Linked DNA regions of Arabidopsis thaliana. The protein of the gene in region 2 interacts with the protein of the main gene of each other region in a pairwise test. Each region holds a gene or a part of one and is shown on either strand. Other genes may lie near its edges.

Region 1 (16,210 bases), on a different chromosome or scaffold from region 2:
GGATCCACGAATCAAGGGTCTTTGGTCCCACTTTCTTCCCAATTATATAAATTTCCTTACCCTATATTTCTTTCATTGATGATTCAACCCCTATATTTCACTACTTCACAAAATAACCCAGAATTTGAGCTCAAAGCAACATCCAAAATGTTCTTCTAAATAGAAAAATAAAACAGAATATAGAACAATAGTACATATAATATACAAAACTAACTTGTAAGAAATTGAGAATAAAAAAGAGAGTGGATCTAAATGAAATTTAATAAAACCAATAGTCTAAATGTAGAGAGAATGATGAAAATAAAGGACATGTCAGCTTCTACATATATGTAAATAAAAAATATATATGACTGAGTATATAAAAACCACATTTTTTTTTTCTTCTGCATCTAAATGTTACAAAAATTGAATAGGAAAAATTAAGAGAGCTTTACTCTGTGAATAAATAAAAAAACAGAGAAAAAGAGCTCTAAGGTGAGACAAGCCTTGTCTTCTTCAACTCCCTAAGTCTCATCTCACCATCTCTCTCTTCTTCTTTTTTTTGGTTACCCAGAAGAGATTCACTTCTATCTCCAACAATTTCGTATTCTCTCATAATATTCAATTTTAAATCGAATAAAACTCGCGTCAATTTCCCCTCTTTCTTTCTGGGTATATATTCTTTTCTGCTTTTCTTTTTTTGTTTCTTGGGTTCGAGCTACATAGAGAGAGGTATGATGAATCCGAGTCACGGAAGAGGACTCGGATCGGCTGGTGGGTCCAGCTCCGGTAGAAATCAAGGAGGTGGTGGTGAGACCGTCGTCGAGATGTTTCCTTCTGGTCTTCGAGTTCTTGTCGTTGACGATGACCCAACTTGTCTCATGATCTTAGAGAGGATGCTTAGGACTTGTCTTTACGAAGGTTCGTATCCAAAAACCAAGATCTTCTCTTTTCATTTTTTTTTTTTTTTTTTTGTTCGTTTAATCTCACGAGAGAGAGAGAGAGAGAGAGAGAAAGAGAGTTCATGGTCTCTTGCTCCAATGATGGGTTTATTTGTGGTCCATTCTCGAAAATTATGTTATTTTGAGGAATAATTATGGTTTTCATATCGGTGGTTGACTAACTTTGCTCCCCCTTTAATAGAAACCATTTTGGTTACTTTTTAAGATTCACATATTAATCTCGAGCTTCTTCATTTAGATCACACCATTTTGATCTACTGATAGATTCACATGTAGATCCATTGTATATAATAAGTTAGGGGAGGTTTCAAATGGATTCAAATCTTGAGTCTTTGATCTTTGACTTGAGTTTTGGTTAAATGTCAATTCATGAGGTCCTTGTTGTCAGAATTCAAATCTCTGTTTTTTTCTTTTATCTTTGAAGATATGAAACATTTTGGTTGTTATGACATGCAGTAACGAAATGCAACAGAGCAGAGATGGCATTGTCTCTGCTCCGGAAGAACAAACATGGATTCGATATAGTAATCAGTGATGTTCATATGCCTGACATGGACGGTTTCAAGCTTCTTGAGCATGTTGGTCTAGAGATGGACTTACCTGTTATCAGTAACGTTCTTTTTACTCCCTCAAATCTCATCTAAGTTTGAATCTTTTTTTATAGATTATTGATCTTGTATTCGTTTAACTAGTGATGTCTGCGGATGATTCAAAGAGTGTGGTTCTAAAGGGAGTAACGCACGGTGCGGTTGATTACCTTATCAAGCCTGTACGTATGGAGGCACTTAAGAACATATGGCAGCATGTAGTTAGGAAGAGGAGAAGTGAATGGAGTGTACCGGAACATTCTGGGAGCATTGAGGAGACTGGCGAGAGACAGCAGCAGCAACATAGAGGAGGTGGTGGTGGTGCAGCTGTTTCTGGTGGAGAGGATGCGGTGGATGATAACTCATCCTCGGTTAACGAAGGTAACAATTGGAGGAGCAGTTCACGGAAGAGGAAAGACGAGGAAGGAGAAGAGCAAGGAGATGATAAGGACGAAGATGCGTCGAATTTGAAGAAACCGCGTGTCGTCTGGTCTGTTGAATTGCATCAGCAGTTTGTTGCTGCTGTTAATCAGCTCGGCGTTGAGAGTAAGACTAAAACTTCTTACATTTGCATTTGTGATTGTTATGCTCAGGGTCTAAATGATCTTCTATGGCGCAGAGGCGGTTCCTAAAAAGATCTTAGAGCTGATGAATGTTCCTGGTCTAACCCGAGAAAACGTAGCAAGTCACCTCCAGGTATAAATCTTATACTGGATACCAAAATGAGCCATTGAAATGCTTAGATGTTCTTAGCGGCTTTATGTGGACTTGCAGAAATACCGGATATATCTAAGACGGCTTGGAGGGGTATCGCAGCACCAAGGCAATCTTAACAACTCGTTTATGACGGGTCAGGATGCGAGCTTCGGACCTCTTTCGACATTGAATGGGTTTGATCTTCAAGCACTAGCCGTCACAGGTCAGTTACCTGCACAGAGTCTTGCACAGCTTCAAGCCGCTGGTTTAGGCCGGCCTGCGATGGTCTCTAAGTCAGGTTTGCCGGTTTCCTCCATTGTGGATGAGAGAAGCATCTTCAGCTTTGACAACACGAAAACAAGATTTGGAGAAGGGCTTGGGCATCACGGGCAACAACCCCAACAGCAACCACAGATGAACTTACTTCACGGTGTCCCCACGGGTTTACAACAGCAGCTTCCTATGGGTAATCGAATGAGTATTCAACAACAGATTGCTGCTGTTCGAGCTGGAAATAGTGTTCAAAACAACGGAATGCTGATGCCTCTAGCGGGTCAGCAGTCTTTGCCTCGGGGACCACCGCCTATGCTAACCTCTTCGCAATCATCCATCAGGCAGCCGATGTTATCAAACCGCATTTCCGAGAGAAGTGGTTTCTCTGGAAGGAACAATATCCCCGAGAGCAGCAGAGTGTTACCGACAAGTTACACTAATCTCACAACACAACACTCATCAAGCTCGATGCCTTATAACAACTTCCAACCAGAACTTCCCGTGAACAGTTTCCCGCTGGCAAGTGCACCAGGGATATCAGTACCGGTTCGGAAAGCCACTTCTTACCAGGAAGAGGTTAACAGCTCCGAAGCGGGTTTCACTACGCCGAGCTACGACATGTTCACCACCAGACAGAATGATTGGGATCTGAGGAATATTGGAATAGCCTTTGACTCACATCAGGACTCAGAATCCGCTGCGTTTTCCGCTTCAGAAGCCTACTCTTCTTCGTCCATGTCAAGACACAACACGACAGTTGCAGCCACCGAGCATGGCCGAAACCACCAGCAGCCACCATCGGGAATGGTACAGCACCATCAGGTTTATGCAGACGGAAACGGTGGTTCAGTGAGGGTGAAATCAGAGAGAGTGGCTACGGATACAGCAACAATGGCGTTTCACGAGCAGTATAGTAATCAAGAAGATCTTATGAGCGCACTTCTTAAGCAGGTTTGATTTGATTTTTTTTTTTTTGTCAAACTTATATAGAAGCATAATCTGATCCGTCAACGTACATGTTTGCGTTCAAAATCAAATATATAACAACTCTCAGACGCTTTCTCACCATTGGTCGCATGTCTTTTTCATAATAATGCAAATTACAACTAAATAACAAAAAAAATCAGTGAACCAAAAAAGTTGAAAAACACAATCTTGAATTATTGATATACAGGAAGGGATTGCACCGGTTGATGGCGAATTCGACTTTGACGCATACTCCATCGATAACATTCCGGTTTGATTGGATAAAAAAACCGATAAACCGGAGGGACTACCCGGATCTGTACTGTATCATTTTTACACGACGATCTACTAAAACTTGTTTGATATATATGTAGTCTGCATGAAATTTTAAATGGCAGATTATATAAGAAATAATTATTCATGTTAGGGGTTAATATCCTTGGAGATTCTTTTGTTCCTCATTTATGTAGTGAGGCTGTTTAGGGTTTTGTAAGTATGTATTTCGAGTAAATGCTTAGAATAATTCGAACAAACTTAATTTAGTACAACGCCACAACGTGAAATCAAAGCAATTCAAGATCAAAACACAAAGGGATTTGTCTGTTCAATATTTGTATGTATACATACTGATTACTAAAATCTGATCATACGAAATTCAAGAATCACACGGTGCACAAAGCACCACTAGTAGTAGAAGTAATTCTGCATCAAATCTGGTTAGAAAGAATCAAGAAAACTGTATATTTTCTGGCTAATGAGGAAAGTCCTTCACTGGAACTTTTAAATCCGAAGAAACAGTAGAGCCAAAAATGGTGTCAGGATGAGAAGAAAGGTGGATACATGTTTCCTGTGACTGTTGCTCGTGGGTAGTACAGAAGGGAGTGAACATTCCTGGCCGTTGAAGAGTACTTTGGTGGGAAACCCATCTTTGGAACCAACTTTGATTCCAGGAGTCAGTTTCTTGGTGAAGGAGATAACCGACTGCTGTTTCCCGGGTATCCGAAAGTCTTCACTCGGGTTTTTTCCGTCTTTCTCTGCAAGGAGATAGTTCAGTCCAGGGAGCCCTTCCATTAAAACAGTTGTGTTCTTCCCGTTGACCGCGATGATACTTCCGTTAAACGAGTACGCTTTCTGAAAACCGGGTGCAGCATTTCTCAGTTCAACCGCGGTAAACCAATCCACGAAATCAGTATCACCCCAGTTGAAGAGTGTGACTCGAGCAGTCCATCCGCCTCGATAGTCTGTAGCTAGGTGCCAGTTTATGCTGACTCCACAGTTATCTCCACAAGGTAATGGGTCCGGGACTTTCCGGTTTTTTAACACTGCCCAAGCGTTGGTAAGTTTGGTTCGGTTGTCAAATGGAATTAGAAGAGCCTGATATGGAAGAGGAAGAGCTGGAGAAGTTGTGCTGCAAGTACGCGCCACTCTGTCGCTAGAGCAACCTCCACAAGCGCAGGTCTTACACGGGATTACTGAGTCATTGAAATAAGAAGAGAATGAGACGCAGCATTTAGGAGGAGTTGGTTGAGTGATGTTGCAGACGACTTGCCAGCTAGCAAATGCACTCTTGTTTGAAGGCAAACCGCTTGTATCAGGGAACTGGCTTGAGCTGACACGAAGAGGAGGGCCACATTTGTAATCCGGGTTAAGGTTACCTTTAATCTGCCAGCTCTGGGGAGGTGTTATAGAGGAGATGTTGAGATCAGGAGGCATTTTGTAAACTTCTATTTGAAAAACCGATTTAGACTTCTCTGGATCCATGGACCGTGGCAGAATAGTTCCATTTCTGCAGCAGTATGGGATACGCCCGACATTGGTATCGTTATACTTAGTCAGGGGTAGGTCTATGATGTGTGGCCTTCTTGCACAGCTCATGACATTAGAGAAGTCAAGATCTTTATAGTATTTTGCTTGAGGACCAGTGATGCAATCCGACGAATCGACAACACTTGGATAAGCTCCTTTGGTTGAGAAGAGAAACTCATCTTTCATCCACATAAAACTTAGATCCCAATTGTCAAGCCGACCAAGCAGGTTATGATTCTCGATAGTGACCTGCGCTGAGTAACTCGACTGATATGCTCTGGTCACATCGTACATTATGGTTAGATCTCCTTCTTGCCTAGGAAGGAACTTTTGACCAATTTTGCTTGTTGTAATGTTCGGATTCGGTGTGCAACATACTTGCAGAACATTACTACCTGGAAAAAGCCATAGAGAAGAAAAGAAATGTCAGTGAAACACAAAGGAAACATTTATGCTCGCAGCAATAAGAGTCTTATTATGATCAAGAAGTAAAAGAAAAACAAATATGCAAACTGAACAGCTTAAATTCCAAAATGTTTAATCAGATATTCCACACATTTATCAGAAAAGCCAAGCATGAGATAGTTTCCTAAGTAAACTTAAGGTCTAATCTCAATTGCTAATAAGACTAGTTCAAACTTTTAGTTTACAAGAAATCTATATAAACAATAGAATTTTTCAACCACTCTATTGATCACAAATAGACCTGGTCAATGTGATCATATTGCTCGACTTTTAAAACTCTTGGTAATGCCTTCATAAGCAACCCAAGATCACATAATATTTAAAATTGCAACAATTCATTAAAAAAATTATGAACAATTAAACGAGAAATGAAAAAATACATTAAAAAATCTCAAGATTTCAAGTCATAAGATTCAGATGATTTTGATACCTTGTTGAGTGGGTTTAGGACAAGACCATCCATCATTAACAAGAGTGATGTTCTTCGGAAGCGGAACACTCGGCGGAGCAACTCCAAACTGAGTACCCACGAGCTCAACACGTGCTTCCATCTGAGTTACGTCGCCGGCCGTCATGATCGCCGTCTTCAAATCCGCCGATGGAAACCCGGCGAAGATTGTCCCGTTCTCAACGCTAGCCGGGAGGCTAGAACCGTCAGAGAGAACAGCGTTGGTCGCTGAAACAAGAATCTCGCGGTGGGCGAATTTAACAAAGACTTGCCACGATTTAAGCTCGTCGCGGCCGTTGTTTAGGACCGTGATCTCTGATTCGAACCGGTACGGCTGGTTCTTCGTGTCGTTTGGTTTAATCTTGGTACCGGTTAAGTAAGTGTAGGAAACGAACACGCCGTTGCAGAGATCGGCGTCTTTAGAGCGTGGTGGTGGAGTGTTGCGTTGAGACGACGTTAGTTGAATCGCCGTGAAGAGAGATGACAAAAGAATCCATAAAATGAAATTTCGAGTTAAACCCATGATTACTCTAAATCTCTTCACTCACAAAAATCTCTTTTTTAAAAAACAAATTCTGGAAATGAAAAGGTGAAAAATCGGAAGTTTAATTTTGAAGAGAGGAAGAGACCGCGTTAAAGAACAGAACAGCTTAGTAAGACGCTGTAATGAAAATTTATGTCCGCGTTGAAAATGTGTATATTTCCTTGTTTGGTCGGATTTTAATGTTTTTTCTTGATCAAGTAAACAAAGGTTACGAACAAAAGCCAAAGACAAGGTTTTGTTCTTCTGACAAAATTATAAAATAGTGGGTTTAAGTTTTCAAATTACAAGATGAACCATATATTTCTGTTAATAAAAAAATGCAACCCCAACCTATATCTTAGTAATTATGTGAATGTGTAATTTACACCTAATCGTTAGCTATAAAACATTGATACCAAACACAGTTTATAGAATGTTCGCTTAAATGACTTATATTCAAATATTTACTGATATTTCTGTCTACTAAATTTTAGTGATTTCTAAGAGTGTTTATGGAAGTTTTGAATGTATTGAGAGTGTGATTTGATAGCTAAAATATATTATGAAGATTTTGTTTGAATTTGTGAAAAATAATAAGGAAAACGTATCTCCAAAATTAAGAAATGGTGTTTATGGAAAATATCGACAAGTTATTCCTAAATTGTACTCTTTGCTTAGGAAAATAAAGGAATCAATGGAAGTAATGGTCCTAAATCGAAGAAACTGCATAATATAAGGGTGAAACACATAAATAGAAGCTTTGGTCAAAAGAAAGTCCCCCGTTGAACGAAGTTGCCCCGTTAATTTGAATCATTCTCGAGGTTCACGGCTCTACCTAGCCATGTCACACTCACACCATTCGTCCACCAGTGATCCATTTAAATGAATTATATTTTCGTCACCACTTTAGATTTTTAAAAAAAAATTATAAGTATGATTCATGACTTTGCCATATTTAACATTACTTAAAATTTTGTTGGTCCACCATTATTAATTATTAATGATGGCTTATTAAGGTTGAATCATACGCTTACATGAAAAACAAAACCAATTGCAAATCGAAAATTTACACTGTCCCTGTTACAAAGTTACCATAACAACTTTTAATCACACAAACAGATACTCTGCCAAGTGCAAATCGAAAAATTGCCATCCTTCAATAAAATGAAAAAACAAATCGAAGTATACAACCTCAGCATGATATATATATAAAAAAAACTCTAAACCATACAAAATCTGAATTTGAAACCAGTTGTGAATTCAAAAGCATATAAAAATTCAAATCAAATGAAAAACGACATCAATGGACCAAAAAACAAAAAAATGGTGGAGTTGACGGAGACAAGACAACTAGAATCACGCGCCTCACGATTCCCCCGATAAAGCCCAATATCTTGGGCCATATGGGCCCATACACAGAGAATGACATTTGAGGCACTAAAAATTAAGACCAATTCTCATTATTATGGCATTGAATGACTAAGAACCAAAAAAAAGTGTTGATATTTGAATTCATCAAGAAAATGAACACAAAACATTAGTGGAACCAAAAAACTAGGAACTTACACATTCATTACATATTATCTCTATCTAATTAAGTTAATCAAAATCGCTCTCACTTGATTATGACCTAATACAGAGAAACACTTAGGCGTAAACAGAGCTACAAGAGAGAGCCATGAGAAGCACAGCAGCTCTTTCTTCCTCACCGAGTTTTCTCCATAACCTCTTCTTCTCAACCGCTGATCTCTTCATCACCGGTACTTTAAACCCTAAATCCAAAAACTTACTCACTCCTTTGTTACTGCTACTACTACTACTACGCTTGTTATTGCAAATTTTCGGATCATCATCGATGTCGATCTTGCCATCATCAACTATGTTGATTTTGTATTTCTTGGCGTTTCGATGGTCGAGGTTTAGATCATTATTGCAATTGCTTTTTCTGTTCTTCTTCTTCTCCTCTGATCTCATACCAAGTGCTGCTTGTCTCTTCTTCCTACTCTTGATCCCACAAGCATTGCACAATGACTACATAGCAAAAGACAAACCAAAGAAATAAGAAAAATTTGAACTTCAGAGCAATATGAGATCAGATCTTTCCGGTCACTAAATTGATTCATCACCTAAATAAATTTGAAAAACGATAAAACCTAAAATAGGATCATGCATAATATAGATGCTATTTCGCGATCCATTGATTAGATCTACTAGATCGGAATCTAACAACAACCCAATAGACTATAAGAAGATTGAAATGAAAGGGTTAGTTAAAAATCTCACCTTTGGTCCGGCAGGACCACCACGCCAAAGAGGAGTTCGGATAGTTCCGCAATCAACGCAAGTCCTTTTGGTATCACCAGAACTACTACCACCGCCACTTCCGCTGCTACTGCAGTTCTCGTTATCAACATCTGATAACTCTCCGGCAGAGTCGAGTTTTGTTTTCGTATCTTCTGATCCCTCAGACATCTTTTTTTTTTTAAGAGATCGGAGCAGAGCAAGTTTTGATGATAAGGAAGAGGGAGAGAGAGAGAGACGGCGGTTAGTAGCAACAGAATTAAACAAACGGAGAGGAATTTTATAATTGAGGAGGAAGGCGGGGGCGGAAACCCTAGTATTTCGGGTTATTTGAATTGACTAAAATACCCTCGAGCGGGAGCTTTTATTAATTTTGTGCCACCCGCCCAAAAACTTATAACTAAAATCTGAAACAATGTTTTGATTTTTTGTTTTTTAAAACTAGCCGCTTTCAAATTTTGCGGCTAGGGTTTGTTATTGGTCGCTGTCCTGACAATAATCTGTTTTCACGTTTTTTTTTTTTTCAGTTTTTGGTTTTATTTTATTTCTAATGTCAAAATTTATAATAAACTAATAAAGTTTTACGTCGGTTTTATTTACAATCAATGCAACAAATGAATTTTTTAAAAACTTATGAATGATGACTGGATTATTAATAAAAAAACAAAAAAATAATGGCAAAATTCTGTAAGATAAATATCCATTGGGCTCAATTTGATAGTCCAGGCCCATGAGCATGATAACGCAGTACAGTTTTTTAGTTGAGCTACAGAAGAAGAAATTACAGTACAGATGCACCTACCCACAAAGAAAACCCGGTGGTTCGAACCGTTAAGTTGTCACCGTAGGATTAAGTATGGCATAGGATACGTGGATGACAAATCATGCGGCCTCAACCACAAAGTTTTGAGGTTTGTTCAATCTTGGTCTTACGAAGATGTTCGGTGTGAACTCTAAACATTGGAGTGAGGATGGATATTTTCAAAAAAGTGAATTTCAAAGAATCTTCAAACATAACTTCTTCCCCACTTATGTTTCAAGTTTAGTGCAAATCCAAAATTAGTTTGTATTCTCATGTCTTGTATGAATTATTAACTAAGGCATATTTGATTTTATTCCAAACAGTTTATATATGATGGAATTGAAAAGTGATCAGCCTCCGTTTAATTTTTCAATGATCATTTCTGTTAGTAATAGAGGAACTAGAGGAATTGTTAATCAGTGTGTTCTTTTAACATGAAAAAGAAGATAGTTTCTCTTTGACATATTCATGCAGTAATTCATCATATCACAACAGAAAGATGATTTGAGACCTGACCACCAATGACCAAACATATTTATCATCAAGACAAAGAGTGAGATTATGAGTTTCCTTCGTATGCATCAGAGCATTTTTTTGGGTGAGTTCTGGAGCTTCACTCTGCAACATATGTAAGACTTCACCAATAAGATGAGATAATTTCAATATTTGAAATTCTTTGTGTATCAATGTAACTCGTACTTGAGCATTGATATGACCCTTTGCCAAGCAGATTATTAAGGAAGAAAGAAATTAACCTCGCAGTTGTAGGACTAAATTAACCTCAAAGTTCTACAAAGACAAGGTTTTCTTCCTTGGATGCCAAGTTAGGACCACAAAGCTCCTCAAACAACCACATTGCAGAAACCATCAGCAAAAAACAAGACCGATTATAAAGTTAAAAGATTGGGCTTAATTCCATAGACAAGCCCTTTACCATAATATAGGAAATTAGTACAAAATACAACAAAATTGGAAAATTGGAACTGGAAAGAGCTTTTGAAGGTCGCCGCATAAAAAAGTAACGTAACTTATTTGACTATATAACTCTAAATTAAAAAACCCTATTTTCTATGAAGTCAAAAAAAAAAAACCTATTTTCTACATCATCGAAACCTTGCTGAGACAATGACGAAGATATCCAATATTCCAATGGATTTGTTGGAGGAGATAAAGACGTAAAGACCTAATAAAGACTTGTTTTTTGGGTTCTATAAAATATAACCTTTGTTATTTAGTGTTCGAGGTAAACAAGACTAAAGTCCTTCAATGCTCATGTAAAATAGAATCTGGCCAAAGAATTATTGTTTCCTTAATTTTTACACTATAGTGGTTTAATTATACTAATTAGCCCATTAGGGAGTAAAAAGAATTATTGTTTCCTTTTCTTTTTTCACGGAAATAACTTTTGAAAGTTGGCATATAAAGTTGTTACCTAACTTATTTCTTGTCGATTAAAAAGATTAGGAAAGCGTGAGAGTAAAACCCTAAATTTCTATTACATTGATCATCCTTGAGTGCTGAAACAATGACAAAGATGTCCAAACTTCCGAATGATTTGTTGGAGGAGATACTCTCTAGAAGTCCACTGTATTCTATGAGAGCAATACGATTGACTTGCAAAAAGTGGAACACTTTAGCCAAAGAAGAAAGCTTTACAAAGAAGCAACTCGTTCAAACAAAAGCTGCCAAGGAATTTATGGTGATCATGATGATGGATTCTAAGTTTTGTTTAATGAACATCAATCTCAACAAGGAAGAAGACGTTGAACCATCTATAAAGTGTAATGGTAAAATTATTAACCCAATCGGTATGTGTCGAGTCTATCATTGCGGTGGTTTGGTATGCATCACAAAAAGCTTCAGTAACACTAGAGATGTGGTTTGGAATCCGTATTTGGGGCAAACTCGGTGGATCAAACCTAGAAGCCATCACGCATATATATATGCTATTGGATACGAGACGAAAAAATCGTGCCGCAGCTACAAAATTTTGAGTTCTGAACACAATTATATAAATATTGATGATGAACGTGTTGACTACGAAATCTATGAGTTAGACTCTAATTCATGGAGGGCTCTTGATGTCAATTCCAATTGGGCGACAGCCTTTTATAAAATGGATGTCTCTGTGAAAGGAAATTCTTATACGTATACTGATTATAGGGGTGACTTCTTGATTTCTTTTGATTTTACAACAGAGAGATTTGGACCGACTCTGCCTCTGCCGTTCCACTCTCGTTGTGGAGATATTGTGGCTCTCTCTAGTGTTAGAGAAGAGAAACTTGCAGTGTTACTTCACCGCTGCAATATATCAAGGATGGAGATATGGATTACTAACAAGATTGAGCCCAACAATGTGTCGTGGGGAAAGTTGTTCTTAACAGTGGACATGAAACCACTCATTATTGATGATGGAATTTTCTTCATTGACGAGGAGAAGAAAGTAGTTGTGGTTTTTGATAAGGACAAAGAGATGAGAAACCGTATCACAGCTTACATCATTGGAGAGAATGGATACTTCAGAAAAGTGGATCTCGGAGATTCTGAAAGTTTTCCTGTTAGGTGCTCTTATGTACCAAGTTCAGTGGAAATCAAGCAACTGGCAAAAGGCAAAAGCAACTAGTCCATTTACAATACCCAAATATTTGGTTCTTGCATTGTTTAATTACTACTACTCTTGCTTTGTCTTCTTTTCTCAGCTTCCTGATTCCTGAACAATATTGGTCTATTCTTAGTTCGTTTCTCATCTCTTACGTTGAAAAAAAGATTGTTAAGCATACTAGTTTGAGATCGAAACAACAAAATCATTCAATACTCATGTCCAATATAATCTGGCAAAACTGTTGTTTCCTAAACTGTTACACGGTAAGGGTATAAATTAGGGCCAAGGCTATCTAGTGCTAAACATACAAAATCTTTTGCCTTTTGACTGTCAAGTACCAACCAACTGCCATTACTATTGCCGCCACTTTCTCGGACTCAGAAATATATAAAAGCTTTGATCAATCAAAAGAACAAAACTTAATACTCTGTTCTGCATTTTGCACTCATGTTCTGTTTCTCTTCCGTCTGCATCAAAGAGGCAACCCGTGGCAAAGATCGGGTTCTTTCTCAGACATTTCCAAATGAAACGAACCCACTTTTCCGGTTTCTAAGCCTTCATAGGATATTCACACTCTCGAGGATTCAATTTCTATGAGGCTGACACGGTTTCTCTCGAGAGTCCACTTTTTCTTAGGTCAAGTTCTTCAACAAGACGCTTAGTATATGAATCTGGAACACATCCATGTCTTTCGATTGAACTGAACATCTCTCTTGCTTCACTCTCTCTTCCAGATTCACTTAGAGCTTTGATGAGAGTGCTATATGTAAAGTTATCTGGTTTCAAACCAATTCTCAGCATTGTTTTAAGCAATTCCTCAGCCTTCTTAACCTTTCTCATCTTGCAAAAACTCTGAATAGTCGCATTGTACGCATAAAGGTCTGGACTTAACCCGTTTTCCTTCATCTTCGCAAACAGCTTCACTGATCTATCGGTATCTCCGGTGGAACAACAGGAGCGAATCAAGATATTGTATGTGATCTCGTTTGGCTCAATACCCCATTCCAACATCTCCTTGAAACAGTCAAATGCATCTTTAATTTCTTTTGCTCTGCAAAGACAGTTTATGATCAAACTGAAAGTGATCACGTCTGGTTTGAAACCATGTACAAGAAGCTTCTCTAGCACGCCGTGAACCTTCTTTACATCACCCCTCACGCTATAACCGCTCAGAAAGGTATTGAAAGTTACGAGATTCGGAGAAATACCTCTATCCTGCATCTCTGTTAAGAACATAGCTGCATTCTCTATGCGTCGAGCCTTGCAGAGACAGTCAATTACCGCATTATAACTATATACACTTGATAGAAGCCCGTCAACACCCATTTGTTTCAGATACCGGTCACCTTCAGAGAACCTCTGAGCATTCAACAGAGCTTGAACTAACACAAGATAACCATTGAATCCTGGCTTAACTCCACGGCTGACAAAACCGTCAAATATCCTACAAGTCTCAACAAGATCATGCCCTTTTAGGAGACAACTCATCGCAGCATTGAATGTTGAGCTATCCGGAATATAACCTCTCTCACCTATCTTCCTCAAGAATTGACCAGTCTCTTTAGCCATTGAGTTGTTTGAAAGACAATACAACACAGCATCGTAACCAACTCTTTGCAAGTTTGAGTCTTTCTCCATAAACCCAACCAAAACCTCAAACGCTTTACACGGCGGCAAGCAACGGAAAATCCCGTGTACGAAAGTTCTGATTGTAGCTTCATTAGGATTCAACTTTCTCACCCGCATCATCTCCAATTGCTTCAACGCCTCATCAACCCTCCCTGCTATCAAAAACCCGTCGATCAAAATCGTGTATGTGAACACATTGGGTCTATTCCCTTCCTGTTCCATCTGTTTAACCAATCGAATAGCTTCATCAACCACACCCTTCTTGCAAACACCATGTATAAGTATATTATAGGTAAACCGATCCGGTTTACAGCCATCACTACGCATCTGCTGAAACTTGAGGTAAGCCAAATCAAGTGAATTAGACTTCACCAACGCATCAATCACAGCATTATAAAGCCTTGTACTTGGTTTCATTCCAAGAAAAGATATCTGAGCAAAAACATCATTACAGTACTTAGCTAAACCTAATCTTCCCCAGCTTCCGATCAAAACACACATCAATTCATCACTAATCCGATACCCTGAATCTCTAATCTCTTTAAGCAATTCCATAGACAACAATAAGGGGCCTTTACGAAAAAGTGCGTTCCCTAGAACACTCTTCAGAGACTGATCCTTAGCGTAAACCGGGTCGAAGTTGGAGACCCAGAGGTAAAATCGCAGGGAGTGTAATGGGTTGTCTTGATTCTGCAAAACGCTGATGACGAATCGAGTGTTGAGACCAATTCGATGAGTGGTGAATTCTTGATTCAGTATCAAAAACCAATCTTTTCTCTCTATGACTTGCGAAATGTAACGCTGGTTCAGAGGATTGGTGGGTTTACCTGAAGAGTTTAGGGTTTTTGAGAGCTTAGGGTTTACGGATGTGGAAGCGTTTAGTGATTTGGAAGCTGCTGCCGCCGTCGCTATTCTAGATGCTGAAGAAGCAAAGCCTCTCATGTCGTGACCAGAACGGAGCTGAGTGCAAGTGAAACATTGATTTGGTCTCTAACCTCAAGACGATGTTTCCTAAACGACGCTGTTTAATACACCAATATCAATATGTGTTCGAATTTAATAATTTTTTTTTTAGTTTCAGAATAAATTAAGAAAAAGTCATGACCAAAAAGATCATCTCCTTTGAAACAAACAAAAACAAAAGAATTTTGGTTGATCCTAATGACTCTTCCATTGCCACCATGAAAATGAGGGTTTTCATTATAGTTTATCCATCTCTTGATTACTATGAATTTTAATTTTCTTGTAATAATTATATTTCTAAGTGATAATTTTCTAATTTCTATCTTAAATTGTAGCATTGACTAAATATTTCCATCTTCATCTTCAAAAATATATTATGATAATATTAAGTTATTGCTAATGAGAGATGTAATAAAAAGAGTTGTGATGAAGTCATTATTATGCTATTTATGTATGATTAATAATATGTTATAAAAATTACTATTGCAATATATATAGTTTTCTTATATCATTGCATTTATTTATAAGAATAAGATACAAATCAAGTCCAATAACTTAGAGAAAATAAAGGCAACGCTAGAATCATCAATTTTGAGAGAAAATGGATTTATAAGTTTGTATTACTTTTGACAACAACATTTCACTGGACATGGAATACAAGGAGAACCACACTGTCCACCTTTTTGAAAGCCAGCTCTAAGACAGTCCTTATTACATTCATCATTCCAGTAATCTTCGGAACACCTAATATTGCAGTTGTCAAAAGAGAAGCCTTCGATCCTTGCATCTACACAAGTCCACATATATATCAAACATCATCAATACCAACATGTGTAAATTTTATATCATTCCAATAAAAAATAGTTATATAACATGTCCAAATAAAAGTTTTTAACGAAACTTTTGAATTCATGTATAATATATATATAAACAAAAACGTGATCATAACGAATTCCAAATATTTAGATATATAGCCTTTGAAATGATCACTACTAAATTGCAAAATAGCTAAACCAAACTTTGAAAATACCTGAAGCCAAAACGTTGTTGTTAGGCAACGAAACTGCAAGTATTATTACAAGGAAACATGTCACCAAAGTTTTCGTACTACCCATAATAAATTTTTCTATGAACTCTTTTGAGGTATTCAAATGTTTTTATTGTTTAGGATCTTAAGGATTGACTATTTATATATAACTTTTGGTCTT
Region 2 (16,650 bases):
CTGTCCAATGATCACCTAGTAAGGTTGTGTTTTAAGATTTTACTTTAATCAACTTCTTGGGCACGGATGCTATGCAGATCAAAGATATGGCGTCGAAATTCTCAGGTTCTCATAAACAAAGCAAGCCAACTCCGGGCTCTTCGAGCAGCAACTTGAGGAAGTTTCCGGATTTTGACACTGCATCAGAGAGTGTTCCATACCCTTATCCTGGTGGAAGCACGAGCTCCACTCCTGCTTGGGACTTACCAAGATCCTCCTACCATCAATCTGGACGGCCAGACTCAAGATTCACATCAATGTATGGCGGTGAACGTGAATCCATCTCTGCTCAGTCGTGTGATGTGGTACTAGAGGATGACGAGCCAAAGGAGTGGATGGCTCAAGTAGAGCCTGGTGTTCATATCACATTTGTCTCACTTCCCAGTGGAGGAAATGATCTTAAACGGATACGTTTCAGGTATTTGAAACCCATTCTCTCCATAACATTTTCAAGAATATGTTTCACTTAAGGACATAGAATGATTCAATGTGAAATGAAGCTAACATATACTTGTATCGTTTTTGAAGCCGGGAGGTTTTCGACAAGTGGCAGGCTCAGAGGTGGTGGGGTGAGAACTATGACAGAATAGTTGAGCTTTACAATGTTCAAAGATTTAACCGACAAGCTCTTCAAACTCCTGGTAGATCCGAGGACCAGGTAAAACACATCACTCTTTAGATCACAACTTTAAGAGAAGGTTTATGAGTAATCTTATCTTTCAACTTCTGTTTGTTTCTTCTAACAGTCGCAGAGAGATTCAACTTACACAAGAATTGATTCAGCAAGAGAAAGCAGAGACTGGACACAAAGAGACAACAACTTCAGACCACCAGGAGGCAGTGTCCCTCATCATTTTTATGGACCTCCAATGGACGCAGCAAGAATCACCACCTCATCGAGGGACGAACCGCCTTCAATGAGTAATGCTAGTGAAATGCAAGGTGAGTGGGTTGAAGAGGACGAGCCTGGTGTCTACATTACCATCAGACAGTTACCAGATGGAACTAGAGAACTACGCCGCGTCAGGTTCAGGTAAACCAGAGAACCGATTTTTTCAGCACTATCCTAATTTATTTGGCGATTAACCGTAAACCTTTCGAACCGGGTTTGTACAGTCGGGAACGGTTTGGGGAAGTGCATGCCAAGACATGGTGGGAGCAGAACAGGGACAGAATACAAACCCAATACCTCTAAGAGGACAAAAAACGAGATCAATATTGTAGTCTTCTTTAACACAACAAAGGTATACACAAAAATCAGAATTTTGTTCATCTTCTAAAATTTTGAAGAAAATCAGAATGTGATATGAAAACAAAATGAAAATTTGATTTATGTTTAGAGATTTGTAGTTAGCTACTTCTCGACGTTTTGATAGCTATGTAATTTTCCTGACGACGAGATGAGCTTTATGCCTTCATTTATTGGTTCATTTTTTGACATGATTCTAAAACTGTGAAACTTATAAATAGAGAGGTTTATCGATGATGGATAGATCACTAAACAAAACAGAACACAGTTTGTTCTCTAATTTGCCTTGGCTAACTACCTAACAACCCTAGAAAAATTATATTTTAAACAAAGTTTTGATGAGATCTATTAAACGGAATCAGATCACAAAAAAACACAGAGAGAATGGTTAGCTTGAACCAATGAAACTAACTCAAAATATACAACTGAAAATATGGAACACAAGCAACTCTAAGTCTAATCACCAACTCTTTGAGCCTAAATTGTTTACTTAATTTCTCAAGAGCATAAAAACAAAGAATCCGCCCAAAAAACAAATCTACTCGAGAAGAATCATAGTAAGAAGGAGTCACTATGAACATAAAGCTCAAGCACAAAGCTAACATAACAACATCTCATGTTCCATATAACCTATACAGGCAAGCAAATAGAAAATAGAACTTACGATGGCACTCCATGTTCGCCTATGGCCGGCTTCTAACAACAGAAAACATGGAGAAAATACCATTAATGATATTGAATTCGATACGCAATTTTCTGGATCGACAACAAATAATTCGATTACACAAGATAAATAAAAAGGTTTAAAATCAATGAATAGTAAATTATTAAGTTAGATAAAAAGAAATTGGACTATAAAAAATGAACTAGAAGAAAAGGAAAATAAAATGAAATAGAAGTTAGCATATTTGAGAATTTATTAATGTAAATTTTATTTCCTAGAAGAAATGAAATAAATAACAGTATTCCTTTATTTAAGATTCAAATATAATTATGATAACTCTTTGTTTTGTCAATAATTATGATAACTCTATAAATAGGTTATTGTGTTAATCGTCTAAGTCTAAGAGAATCCAAAGAAGTCAAACTTAACACGCCGTACTCTCGTAAAAGAAGATGGACCGAGAAGCAGTAAAGGATCAATACGACATCCTTATCGACCTGGAAGGATCAGTAGGGACTCAAAGCGACATTGTTCTGAGGTGGACTCAGACCAGATTATCTCTTTACTTCAGGCTTCTTCAACGGATGAGCTTAACGCTGTCTTCTCCAGGATCGTCACCACCATCCTCGCCGACAGCACCCCGAGTGGCGGCCCGACGATATTGGCAGCGAATGGCGTTTGGATCGAAAAGACTCTCTCTGTGGAACCTTCTTTCAAGGATCTCTTGCTAACTTCTATATAAATTTACTAGGGCTTGTACTAACATTAACATGCTTTTGATGTATGTAAGATAGTAACATGCTTAGACATTTAGACTTAGATGTGTGCGTAATCAGATTTAGGCAAGGCTTTTGTGTGAAAATCAAACCACAGATGTTAGTGTAACCTAATAAACCTAATTCCCTTAAACCTTCTCCATATATTTCCTTCAGTTTCACTTATATGAACATATTCGGTGAATAACTTAGCTAAATACTAGATTGTATATAGGAATACTAGGGATTATACTAATAGTTTGTGCTTTGAAGTATACACAAGGCTTTTGTGAAATCAAATCACAGATATTGATAGCTAGCTTCTCTGTTTTTGTTTGTATTGTTTTTGAAAGGCTGATGAAGTGAATAAAGAGGTGAATTCATGGGTTGAAGAGCAGACAAATGGACTCATCACTGATCTTCTTCCACCAAACTCTGCTTCTCCTTTGACTGATCTCATATTTGCTAATGCCTTGTTTTTCAACGGAAGATGGGATAGTCAATTCAATCCATCGCTAACAAAAGAATCCGACTTTCACCTTCTTGATGGAACCAAAGTACGTGTGCCCTTCATGACCGGTGCCCACGAAGACAGTCTTGATGTTTACGAAGCTTTCAAAGTCCTCAATCTACCGTATAGAGAAGGACGCGAAGACAGTCGTGGTTTCTCTATGCAAATCTATCTCCCTGATGAGAAAGATGGGTTGCCTTCAATGCTGGAGAGCTTAGCTTCTACTCGTGGATTCTTGAAGGACAACAAGGTTCTTCCTAGCCAGAAGGCGGGTGTCAAGGAACTCAAGATTCCAAGGTTTAAATTTGCTTTTGATTTCGAAGCCTCGAAAGCTCTCAAGGGTTTGGGTTTGAAGGTGCCATTGTCTACGATCATCCACAAGTCTTGCATCGAGGTCGATGAAGTGGGATCGAAAGCTGCAGCTGCTGCCGCATTAAGATCATGTGGAGGTTGTTATTTTCCGCCAAAGAAGTATGACTTCGTGGCTGATCATCCTTTTCTCTTCATCGTCAAAGAGTACATAAGCGGACTAGTTTTGTTTCTTGGTCATGTCATGGATCCTTCTAAGCACTAATTTGATGTCCAAAGTCTCGGGACTTAAGGAAAATGTTTTTATGACGTTCTTGACGTATTTGAACTTTTATGCCCACTGGTTTTAAATTTGGAAGGAAATTTGAGTTTTAGAGATTTGTCGTTAGCTAGTTCTCGGTGTTTTGATATGAGCTTTATGCCTTTATTCATTGGTTCATTTTTCCCATGCCTTTACTTTTGAATGATTCAAGTGGTTAGACTCTTTTCAATTTCTTTGCTTATAGCATAGTAACAGCATGCGAATTCAACTTTGTTTTTTTTTTATTATTATTGTAACAAAACACAACGTATGTTGTTGCCAAAACCATCCTGAAGCCGGTAAACCAAGACTCTGCTCATAATTTTCCTAAACCAAATGGGGAGATCGAAATGTAATCGATGCATGGAAAAGGAACTAGAAATTGAATGAAACTTGTGTGGCGTGTGATGCAAGCTACTGTAGCAGCTGTAGCATCAGCCTATTGATGAAACGAAACGCTAGCTCTTAATTGGGAAACATTGGATATACAATGTCTCTTTTATGTTTATCGGAGGATGAAGTGGATGATTTTAGTTAGATATAATAACATTCATTCACTATGAGTTGGTTTTGTTCTTACACATAAATGTAAAAAGAGTCTAGACCATCCATGCAGGTTCTTAGCTAGATACTACCAGATACTTTGCATTCTTCTAGTAGATTAAGCAAGTCGTGTTCCGGCGCACTAAGTGAAGGCAAGATCGGACGGTTGGTATTGCATTGGCTAGTCCGCGATGGAATTGACGTCACAGAAACATCAGATTCTTCATCCATCCCATCTTGGACAATAGCCAAATCACTTCGTCTCCTCATCGAAGAAGCCGACACTCTCTCTTTCCAGAGTCTCCCGTCCTGTGATCATAAAAAATAGAGTGAAGCTTTCTACAAACACTCCTATCTTTGCAGTTTTCACTATCAAAAAAAACTAATTTTTTCTTTTCTTGGAACTTTTTCAAGAATCTTACATTGAGAATGGATGGCTCTGGGAGTGGACATTGGATCGGTTGATCGTTGTCTAAGGGCTCCATCGGGTGATCCACCGGTTTAAACTCTGTTGCTACTTCGATCCCATGAGTTTCAGTGGTTGTGGTATTAGTTGCCGGAGCAAGATCAGATCTTGGAGACAATACTTCCCTGCCATCCTGATCATAGGAGAAGATTTCATGTCAAGTGTAGCCTGAAACCAATTTAGGGCTTTTCCAGATAAATAAAAGGGTCTCAGATTCAACTATAGCTTGAAATCTATTAAAGGTAATCAGATTACAAAAGAACAGAGAGAATCTTGAACCAATGAAAGGAACTCAAAAGAACAGAAGAAGCACTAAACATCTCCCATTCTAATCATCAACTCTTTGAGCCTAGTTAGCATCTATGATATGAGCAAAGAATCTGTCCAACAATTAAACAAATGTACTGGAGAAGTGTCATACTAAAAAGGAATCACTATGAACATAAAGCTCAAGCACACAACTAACAGAACAAAATATCATGTTCCATATAACCTCTACTGGAATCAGACAAGCAAATAGAAAAGAGAGCTTACGATGGCACTCTGTGTTCGTCTATGGCTGCCTCTAACAACAGAAAACCTGGAGAAAATACCAACCATGCTATTGAATTCGATTATACGATTTTTTTGGAATAGACGAATTTCTTGATCTTCACTTTGAATTTCACAAGCTAAAACACACAAAATAAACAGTAGAAGAAAAGAACAAAAGCAGAGCCACAAAGAAATCTCCAGAATATTGCAGTGGACTGATAGATAATAAGAAATGCTTTCTCAGCTTTAAGCTTTAAGCTTTGCTTGGCTTGAACAGATTCTCTGTTATGGCTTCTTTCTTTCTGTCTCTTCTAATTTATCCTTCAACAACTTTTCTTTGGCTTTGAAAATTAGTATTAAATGATGATTCATCGCATTATTAAAATGAAATAATTCCCTTATTGGAAAATGACAATTTTTTCTGGTTCAGCTATATTGTTTTGTTCTTGAGAGAATAAACTATTCATTCAATCCACATCGAGAAAGCTACAAATCAACTAGACGGATTATTTAATATGACTAAAATACTAGTAATAATTAAGCTATTTGAACCACCAGCTCAAGAACTCAAGTGTTATTGAAGTATCTTGTATTCTTTTTCAGGACAGGCTAGGTACTAACTAATTTGTCGTTATTCTTTTTCAAGGAAAAAAAGTATATTAAAAAAAAACTAATCTAATCAGCTAATGCTACGTACTACGTTCAAAGCCAGATTTATTACACTACACCTTACCTAATCTCGCCTAATCTTTTGGCTTTCGTAGTTATTAGTTAATTGTGAAGTTATTAGCTCTATCCAGATGATTTAACAAATGAAAATATCTTGAGTCTTTGTTTACTATCCTTGTCCTAGAAATTGAAAGCACCATCAGAGCCAGCAGTGGCAAAAGTACCATGTACCTTATAAAATACACACCTCAAACAATCAAGTCATCGTTATGTCAAAAAAAGAAAGCAATCAAGTCAAAATTTGCAAAAGAAACTATGGTTCAGTTAGAATTTTTAAATATGGACACAAGTTACATGAAATAAAGTTTTGATTTTGGTTTTGGACCCTTGAAAATACACCAATTTGTTTGTCAGTTTAACAATGTCCCGGTGCAAATTTACTTCACGCACATGCGAAATTTATGTAGCCATGTCGGTCTCCTTTTAATGTTAAAAGGAAAATAAAAGAAAGAAATCAGAAAACAGCACAACTTTGGATTAAAAAAAGTTAACTAAAAGAAAAGGAAATAAAACGTGAGCGTATTTAGGAAAATATGATTATACAAATATATTAATTTGATTGAGAACTATAATTTATGATAACTCTATAATTAGGGTTCTTGTGTTGTGTTAAGAGGTTTTAGTTCAAAAACATAAAACAAAAGAAGAGAAGTAAAAGAAAGAAGTCGTCTAAGAGAATCCAAAAAAATCCAACTTAACTCGCCGTAAGAAAGATGGAACTGGACACTACCAAAAAAAGAAAGATGGACCTGGAAGAATCAATAGAGAAGCAATATAAGGCCATGATGGACCTGAAAGAATCAGTAGGGAATCAAAACGACATTGTTCTGAGGTTGACAGCACGTGATCGCCACTACCTCCCGAAAAACCTCGAACCTCGTCTTCTCGCCAGCGTTAATCAACGTCATCCTCAGTATTATCGCCGCCAGTTCTCCCGGAGACACAGACACCGCAGACAAGATTGTCTCTTTACTTCAGGCTTCTTCAACCGATAAGCTTCACGCTGTATCCTCCGAGATCGTCACCACCGTCCTCGCCGACAGCACCGCGAGTGGCGGCCCGACGATATCGGCAGCGAATGGCTTGTGGATCGAAAAGACTCTCAATGTGGAACCTTCTTTCAAGGATCTCTTGCTGAATTCGTACAAAGCTGCTTTCAATCGAGTTGACTTTCGCACCAAGGTACTCTCTTTGATCCAAATAAACCTAACTCCTTTATATATTTACTAGGTATTATATTATACTTTACATGCTTAGTTGTATCATGTATGTAACATAGTGACATGCTTAGATGTAGCATAGTAACATGCTTAGACTTAGATGTGTTCGTAATCAGATTTACCCAAGCCTTTGTGAAAATCAAATCATAGATGTTAGCGTATAACTGTATAAGGATAACATTATTGACCGGAAAAAAAAAATGCTAGTGTAACCTAATTCCCTTAAATCTTCTCCAAATATTTCCTTCAGTTTTCACCTATATATATGAAAATCATTCGGTGATCAATAACTTAGCTAAAAACTGGTTTCTATACAAAATCACTAGGGATTGTACTAATATATTGAAAAGTGTGCTTAGTCAAAGTATATACACAAGGCTTTTGTGAAATCAAATCACAGATGTTGATAGCTTCTCTGTGTTTGTTTGTTTTGTTTTTGGAAGGCTGATGAAGTGAATAGAGAGGTGAATTCATGGGTTGAAAAGCAGACAAATGGACTCATCACTAATCTTCTTCCATCAAACCCTAAATCTGCTCCTTTGACTGATCACATATTTGCTAATGCCTTGTTCTTCAACGGAAGATGGGATAGTCAATTCGATCCATCTCTAACAAAAGATTCCGACTTTCACCTTCTTGATGGAACCAAAGTACGTGTGCCCTTCATGACTGGTGCCTCCTGCAGATACACACATGTTTACGAAGGTTTCAAAGTCATCAATCTACAGTACAGAAGAGGACGCGAAGACAGTCGTAGTTTCTCAATGCAAATCTATCTCCCTGATGAGAAAGATGGGTTGCCTTCAATGTTGGAGAGATTAGCTTCTACTCGTGGATTCTTGAAGGACAACGAGGTCCTTCCTAGCCACTCGGCGGTTATCAAAGAACTCAAGATTCCAAGGTTTAAATTTGATTTTGCTTTCGAAGCCTCGGAAGCTCTCAAGGGTTTTGGTTTGGTGGTGCCATTGTCCATGATCATGCACAAGTCTTGTATCGAGGTCGATGAAGTGGGATCGAAAGCTGCAGCTGCTGCCGCATTCAGAGGAATTGGTTGTCGACGTCCTCCGCCAGAGAAGCATGACTTCGTGGCTGATCATCCTTTTCTCTTCATCGTCAAAGAGTACAGAAGCGGACTTGTTTTGTTCCTTGGTCAAGTCATGGATCCTTCTAAGCATTAATTTGATGTCCAAAGGTCTCGGGATTTGAGGAAAATCTTCTTATGACTTTCTTGACGTATTTGATTCCATGCATCACTTGAGTTAAAAGTTGAAATTGACTTTAGTTATAATCCTCGTGCTTTTCATCTTTTTAAAAAGATTTATCTCTTTTCAATGATTTTTATTCTTTGGCCTAATATGATGGCTATATAAACTAGGTTTCACAAACAATTAATATTAAGAATGTATGAAAATAACTATGAAATCTCGATCGAAAATTCTTGAATTACAAAGGTTTTTTTTTCCTCAATTTGAAAAAAAAGAAGAAGAAGAAGAAGTTAGGATCTTTTAGCTCAAAACAAGGTAATTAGGGTTTATGTGTGTAAATTTGCAGATTTCTTGCTTAATTTCATATCTATTTATTTATTTATGGACCGATTATCGGTTTATACAATTTACTTATAAAATTATTCTTGATACATTCACTATCATTTGGTTCTGTTCTTACAAAGAAAAGCGATAATGTGATGAGAGTTTAGGAATTGGAAGAAGTTATATATATTTACTCTCATAATGATAAGCTTTGGGTTACATATGTTTATATATAGTAAAATGGTTTCCTAAACTAAGATAGAACTAAATCTTTACATATGAATATAATAAATATAAAATATTTTCATATTAACTTGTGGATCTTCTGGATCCTTCTACAAGTACTCGTTGTCGAGACCATCTCTGGTACTTGTTCAAAACATAAAAGAAAACAAGAGAAGTCGGTTTAAGAGAATCCAAAAAAATCCAACTTATCCTCGCCGTGAGAAAGATGGACCTGAAAGAATCAGTAAATGATCAATACGACATCCTGGAGAACCTGAAAGGGTCAGTTGGGAACCTAAACGACATCATTCTGAGGTTAACTCAGCACGTTATCGCTAGCACCGCCGGGAAAACCTCGAACCTCGTCTTCTCGCCGGCGTTACTCAGCGTCATCCTCAGTTTTGTCGCCGCCAGTTCTCCCGATGAGCTTAACGCTGTCTCCTCCGGGATCGTCACCACCATCCTCGCCGACAGCACCCCGAGTGGCGGCCCGACGATATCGGCAGCGAATGGCGTCTGGATCGAAAAGACTCTCTACGTGGAACCTTCTTTCAAGGATCTCTTGCTGAATTCGTACAAAGCTGCTTTCAACCAAGTCGACTTTCGCACCAAGGTACTCTCTTTGATCCAAATTAACCTAACTTCTACATAAATCATAGATGTTGATAGCTTTTCTGTTTTTTTTGTTGTTTTGTTTTTGAAAGGCTGATGAAGTGAATAAAGAGGTGAATTCATGGGTTGAAGAGCAGACAAATGGACTCATCACTGATCTTCTTCCACCAAACTCTGCTTCTTCTTGGACTGATCTCATATTTGCTAATGCCTTGTTTTTCAACGGAAGATGGGATAGTCAATTCAATCCATCGCTAACAAAAGAATCCGACTTTCACCTTCTTGATGGAACCAAAGTACGTGTGCCCTTCATGACCGGTGCCCACGAAGACAGTCTTGATGTTTAAGAAGGTTTCAAAGTCCTCAATCTACCGTATAGAGAAGGACGCGAAGACAGTCGTGGTTTCTCTATGCAAATCTATCTCCCTGATGAGAAAGATGGGTTGCCTGCTGTGAGGTTTTTAGCCTCTTTACCTCTAGCTTTCTTACTCACAAGCACACAACTACTAACTTGAAGCATTAAGAACTGACTTGAAGAATGTTGAGCAGAGACTGAAACTTAAAGAAAAAGTTATGCAAAGATAGAGAAGTGTTTAACTATGAAGATGCAGAGAATGAGTGTGATGCAGAGCTGTTAAAGAAGAATGATGCAAGGCTGGAAAAACGAACACACACGGTTTAACGAGTTCGGAACCTCAACGTGAGGAACCTACATCTCGCCGGGAAAAATCCCGGAATCCACTAAACCACTTCAAGATTACAGCTTTGTCCCTCACCCTCTCTAGGAACTTACAAAGCTCTCTCTCTCTTATGTTCACTCTGTTTTCCCAAACCCTTAGCCTTACACTTACTTCTCTCTCACTTGTCTCACTCCTCTGTTACAGAGTCAAAACAAGACAAAACTTGTGGTCCTTAAACTTGGTCTCCAAGCTGGTCTCTCATTGGCTCTTTCAAGTAGGGTCGCGAATCCGTACGAGAAAGCAACTATGAGAACGTTAATGCTTGTCCTTAGACCTTCCACACGCTTTAGAGACTTACCTTTTCCTTTGAAGACTTCAGACTCTCTGTTGCAATCAGAGTGTCTCATTCCTCTTCATCTTTCTTTTGTCTAAGCCACTTAGTCTTAACACCTGCAATGTTGGAGAGATTAGCTTCTACTCGTGGATTCTTGAATGGCAAAGAGGACATTCCTAGCCACTGGGCAGATGTAGGAGAACTCAAGATTCCAAGGTTTAAATTTGATTTTGGTTTCGAAGCCTCTGAAGCTCTCAAGGGTTTGGGTTTGGAGGTGCCATCCACTATCATCCACAAATCTTGCATCGAAGTCGATGAAGTGGGATCGAAAGCTGCAGCGGCTGCTGTAATATTTGTTGGTTGTTGTGGTCCTGCGGAGAAGAGGTATGACTTCGTGGCTGATCATCCTTTCCTCTTCCTGGTCAAAGAATACAGAAGCGGACTAATTCTGTTCCTTGGTCAAGTCATGGATCCTTCTAAGCATTAATTTGAGGTCAAAAGTCTCGGGACTTTATGACTTTCTTGACGTATTTGCATCCATGCACAACTTGAGTTGAAAGTTGATTCTAAAGACTTTACTGAATCCTCGTTTTTTTCATCTTTTTAATAGATTTATCTCCTTTTAATTTGGTATGAGTGTGAAGTCACCTATAATATATATGATGACTGCCTAAGTTTAAGACCATCCCTGCAGGATATTCGTATGAAGTCAAAACAGAGTCTCTTGTTGATTCGCTAATATTCATTTCTTATTGAAATTTATTTGTGAATTCCAAAGCAATGTGTTGCATGACCGAAGTTACCCAAGTTCATGCCATAATGTGTTTCCACGACTGTTGGGATTTTTGCAGGAAATATACTCTACTTCAGGGGAAACAAGTAAAGGATACCTCTACTATAGCAAATACAGTACTCCCAAATATATACCAAAAGGCTAAGACTGTGAAAAGGACTTAAAAAGAAGCCACAAAAGCTAATATCTAAATCAAACCCAACTAATGAAACGACTACTTGATGGTCACAAACTTGTTAGTACCGTGTCTGGCCCAATGGTTCTTGAGATCAAGAGGGTGAGAGAGGTCATAGCCTTCGTCCGCAAGCCTCGCAAGGAGCTTAACATAAGCACCATTGCTCATTTTTCTTCCTGCAAGACGAGCTCCAGGTCTTGTTGTGCTCATGGGTAGTGGGTATGTCGATATGCTGATGGTACAACATGAGGATTGCCAACCGCCCATGCCCCATTTGTAGCAAACCCTTGAAACGCCTGTACATGAACATACAGGAGGAGGAACCCCAGAAGTATCAAAGCTTGAGATGTCAATGTTGATGTCCAGATTCTTTTTCTCACGTTTTGTTTCTGGTATGCTAGGTGTTTTCTTTGACTTGTTGGATACAGAGCGTTTCTTCCTTTGCGGTTTTGGCTTCAAAGCTTTCGAAGGAGACTGATTTACGGACTTCTGTTTCACAGTTTCAGTATCGTTTCTGGAATCTCTAATAGGAGGAGGAAACAAATGAGATTGAGGCACCATCACACCTTCAGCAGGAGGTTCCTGAGAAAGATCAATGCCTGTGGTCTTTGGAACGGCGATACATGAATGTAACCAATGAGCATTAGACGTACGCAAGCCTGAGTCCTTGTTTGCGTTTGTAGCAGATAGCATAAGGTTTTGTGCAGGAAATGAATTCATCTTGATAGCTAGTTTCAGTGGAAAGATCACACCTTCGCGTTGCAGCTCCTACATCATTTCAAAAGCAGATAAGATGAGCCAACACCTCCAAACAACAATTGATACTAAGTACTAACATTATTAAGCAACACACAGATGCAGAAGCAACCTACATGCTCTACTTACAGAGAATATAATCTATAGTTTACTTCCAGTATCAGTTTTCAATCAAAAGACAGAGATTTTACAAGACAGAATCTGATATGCATAAGTCTAAATAAGCAAACTTGATAATTGAAACCCAGATAGTCAGAACAGATAAAACAGAGATATAAAGACTACATACGTAGAGGAAAAGATTTGATCTTTCAAGATTGTTTGATTGAAAATCGGCAAACCCAGAAGAGTTAACGAAAGAAGAATCAAGACCCATATGCGGAAAAAATTAACTCGCTACAATAAACCATGCAAAATCAAAAACCTGTGACTAGGGTTCCAAAAGAATCATACGGCAGAAACAGAGTCGACACCAAAAAAAGAGTGATCTTTCGGCTTACGCAAACGAGAAAAATCGTCGGAGTTACCAGTGGCGACACTCCACCGCTATGCTCTCGCTCACTCTGCGCACTCTTTCTCTCTCAAACCTCTGATGGACGAAATAATTCACTTTGAGGCCTTGAGAATTTCTAGGGCTCACCGATTTTTAAACTCCGTTTCTTTTTGCCCCACGCGAAATTTATGCATATATTTTAAACAATATAAAATTCTTAAGTTTACAATTAGTCAATTAGATAATTAAACTTTGAAAATTTATTTTTTTGCCACTAAGATTTGGTAATATAACACAATATTTAACTTATCTATGCAATTTATAAACTTGTGGGAAAGTCTTTGGACTTTGGGTTTGGGCACTAAATATAGTTGATCTAAACTAATATGATTAAGTTAGACAAATATAGACATGAAGTGCTTGTTTCTCTTTGTCATGAGATGATGAGAAACAGAAAACAAAGAAGTGTCTATGTTCACTAAGTGGCAGAAACCAAATCAGGAGGAACAGAAGCAAGATCAAGCACCCAAGACTCTTTCAGATCAGCTCCAGATTCATCTTCAGGCAGCTTCTTGGCCGGAATCTGATGAGAGAGCAAGGCTGCAACATCTTCTTTCTCGACCCACCTGACTGCATTATACCCGTAATCCCGTCTCTTGAACAGGTTGCTATAGTCGTTAACCTTCTCCAAATATGCTACACTTAATCCATATGCATCAGTATACATTGTCAAGCATACGACAATCTCATAGCGTCTGGTCTTTCTTCTCTGAAGACCTGGATTTGTCTCTGAGTAGACTGCCCAAACCGAGCCTTTCTTTGGATATATTTGGTATATTTCTCGTGCAGCCCTTTCGCAGTTGACAAGGTGAGAGAATGGTTTCACTTGTTCTATCAAAGCTTTCTCTGAAACCCGGAACCTACCACAAGGCATATGAGAAGAACTAATCTTCATCCAAGAGATTAGTTTCTCGCTCTCAAAATCCAACCAGCTGATCCATACCTTAAAAGGATTCAAAGAGACTACTTCACTAACTAAACAGTAACTCCGAGGCATTTTGTCATCACCACCATCATATATCGCCCAAATCTGCCCTTTCTTGAAGCTCCTCGGCATCCGGTCCTTATCAAAATCATACAGTTCAAAATCCTCGTCTTCCATATACATTTCTTGGCTTAACTTACCACGATCCCTCTTCCTATCAACCCGAGGCACGTATTCTAAATCCACTATCTCAGTTAAATCCTTGTGGTTCGCCATCTTCTTCTTCTTTATATTCTTCCTATTCTTTAAAACTTCTTGTTTATTATTCACTGCGTTAGTACTCATCTCCCTTAACGTTTCAGTCATGGAGGCATCAGCTAAAGATCTCTTCTGCGTTTCCCTTCCCATGTTTTCTTCTCCACTGCTATCTTTCTCAGTGATCTTCGAATTCACCTTCGACTTATTTCTCTTTATCACCGCTTGCATTTCTGCCAAAGTCATCATCCCTTCATCCTCTTCATCCGACCCCTCAAATACATTAATAGCTTCTGCTGCTTCCTGACTCATCTCCCCTGTCTCAACTTCTTTTATCAGACTTTCACCATCGCTATCAACAGGCCTCTTCCTCCTACTATATGTTATGATCTTGGAAGTACAAGCTCCATTTTCTCTACCCTCTTCTTCCTTCTCAACTTCCTTCGCCTCAAAACTATTCTTGCAAGTAGGGCACATCAAATTTTGTCCTAAATACTTCCTATCAAACTTATGCACCGACCTACAACCCGAACAAACCGCCGAAAACGTTGACGTTTCATCACCACCAGAACCACCGCTAACCATTTCCCCCTGAATCCTAATCCTCAACTTCATATCATACTCAGTCCTCCTAACCTTATCAGAGAAAACCCTAAAGGCCTCATTCAAAAGTTTGAACCCCTCCTCACACCCCACATACGGATTCTTATCAGGATGCAACACCAAAGCTAGCTTCCTATACTGTTGTTTTATGGTATTAATATGAGAAAAAGGCTCTACCTTTAGAACCTTGTACCATTCCGGAAAACCTCCGGCGACTGTGGCGGCGGAGCTGATGATCTCGAAAGCGGTGACCATGGCGGATAAACCTTCCGTGTTCGGAGACAAGCTGAGAGCTTTCCGCGCGTGAGTTAAGGCCGACATCAAATCACCGCAATTGAAACTCGATTCCGCTAGTGCTTTGTGGTGTATGGATTCCTTTTCTACTTCTGAGTCTGATCCAGAAGCCATTGCTGTGTAGCCGGAGACGCCTTCAAAAACTTCAACTTTGAAAGAGAGGGCTAAAAAGAGAGAGAGAGCTCTGCTTTTTCTATTCCCTTGAATTCACTCACCCTAGTCTTTTTATTATTTTCTTTATCACCCTCTTATTTATTAAGAATCTCTTTTCTGCCCAATAGTTTTTTTTGTTAGTGTTCCTAACTATTTTGTCATAAAGTCATTTATTGTTTTTGATGACATGTAACATTACCAATGAGTCAATGCACTATCATTCTATCAATGTGTATTGTATACATAAACCTATTCATAACATTTAAAATATACTTTTGCAAAGACACTTTTTCCATATATTTATGTCAATTTTGATTTTAAAGATCTTCCTTTTCAATTGGGGAGAAACTTTTTTCCTTATCAAATTGTGACATTTTGGGTGGGTTACAAATTATTGTAAGGCTTTAAATGGGTAAAGTTCATAAATAAGTTATAAAGAAGGGCTTTTAATAAAAATACTTAAATTTGGGCAAAGAAGCAATTTTTATTCCTCGTGAACTCCACGCCCCCTTTCTTCTCCGTCAGATAACAAAAAACAAATCAAGCAAATTTATTTATCTTGGTCAAGAGACATTGATTCTCTTAAATTTCTGCAAAATTAAGCTCAGAGATTCACACCGCATCTGAAATTGTGCTCAGAGGGGTTCCAAATATTACCAGTCGTTAGGTATTTCTGTTCACATCTCTCCAAGTTTGTATCTTTGGGGTTAGATTTTAGCGTTTCTCTTCTGAATTCGATTGAGTTTTCTAGGGCTTTTCGAGGGTTTCTATATATACTTCTCGGTTTTGTGTTATTGTGTTTCTCCGGTCCGACATTGTTATTTACCTGTTTCTGCATCTTGAGAAAAAGACTAGACCTTTAAGCTGTTGTTGGATTATCAATATATATATATATATATATATATAGCTGTATTGGTCAACGATCAATAGGAGAAGTTTGGAACGAAATCTCTAACATCTTATTAGCTGAAATGTTGAATTGTTGGATGTGTTGAGTTTATGCATGAGTAGATCTCGTAGTGAGTTAGCTTATAGCTGACTTCGTCTTGCAGGAAGCAATCACGAGTTGTTTTAGGAATTAGTGAACGTGATAATGGCTAGCAATGAGATGGAAAAATCGAGTAAAGAGAAGGAACCTAAAACACCTCCTCCTTCTTCTACTGCCCCTCCCTCTTCACAGGTTTGTGTTTGCCCTTCTCTGCTTCCAATTTTCTTAAGAGGACCATAATGTAAAAAGGGAAAACAAATCCCATGATTTAAGCTATTAGAAGCCGAATTAGAAGTGAGATACTAGAAAGGAAAATAAAAATATTCTAGATTTCAGCTAATTGTGATTTTGTATACCTATCAGTGATATGCTTTAGTTGGAATATTTCTGTGTTTGTAGGAACCTTCATCGGCTGTGAGTGCTGGCATGGCTACTCCAGATTGGTCTGGTTTTCA

The links.
Region 1: the proteins of BPC7 (region 2) and GATA17 interact in a two-hybrid assay, tested with the Arabidopsis thaliana proteins (one large-scale study listed by BioGRID).

What each region holds. Positions count from the first base shown.
Region 1 is NC_003074.8:5,755,400-5,771,609, forward strand, and holds GATA17 (GATA transcription factor 17), read right to left. Parts: upstream 9,362-16,210; 5' UTR 9,178-9,361; coding exon 8,989-9,177; intron 8,737-8,988; coding exon 8,353-8,736; 3' UTR 8,098-8,352; downstream 1-8,097. Other genes in the region: RR1 (response regulator 1), read left to right, coding at 714-900, 1,398-1,550, 1,634-2,074, 2,148-2,224, 2,303-3,448, 3,672-3,740; COBL8 (COBRA-like protein 8 precursor), read right to left, coding at 4,244-5,664, 6,165-6,705; AT3G16880 (F-box and associated interaction domains-containing protein), read left to right, coding at 11,334-12,431; PPR40 (pentatricopeptide (PPR) domain protein 40), read right to left, coding at 13,002-14,981; AT3G16895 (Cysteine-rich protein), read right to left, coding at 15,623-15,789, 16,033-16,117. UniProt on the Arabidopsis thaliana protein: Transcriptional regulator that specifically binds 5'-GATA-3' or 5'-GAT-3' motifs within gene promoters.
Region 2 is NC_003071.7:14,925,676-14,942,325, reverse strand, and holds BPC7 (basic pentacysteine 7), read right to left. Parts: upstream 13,031-16,650; 5' UTR 12,801-13,030; coding exon 12,714-12,800; intron 12,437-12,713; coding exon 11,708-12,436; 3' UTR 11,658-11,707; coding exon of another isoform or gene 11,552-11,657; 3' UTR 11,434-11,551; downstream 1-11,433. Other genes in the region: BRXL1 (BREVIS RADIX-like 1), read left to right, coding at 78-457, 568-697, 786-1,072, 1,156-1,234; AT2G35585 (cystic fibrosis transmembrane conductance regulator), read right to left, coding at 4,453-4,680, 4,794-4,970, 5,372-5,437; AT2G35580 (Serine protease inhibitor (SERPIN) family protein), read left to right, coding at 6,844-6,943, 6,993-7,282, 7,764-8,498; AT2G35555 (serpin), read left to right, coding at 10,822-11,084, 11,552-11,657; AT2G35540 (DNAJ heat shock N-terminal domain-containing protein), read right to left, coding at 13,396-15,168; bZIP16 (basic region/leucine zipper transcription factor 16), read left to right, coding at 16,301-16,387, 16,595-16,650. UniProt on the Arabidopsis thaliana protein: Transcriptional regulator that specifically binds to GA-rich elements (GAGA-repeats) present in regulatory sequences of genes involved in developmental processes.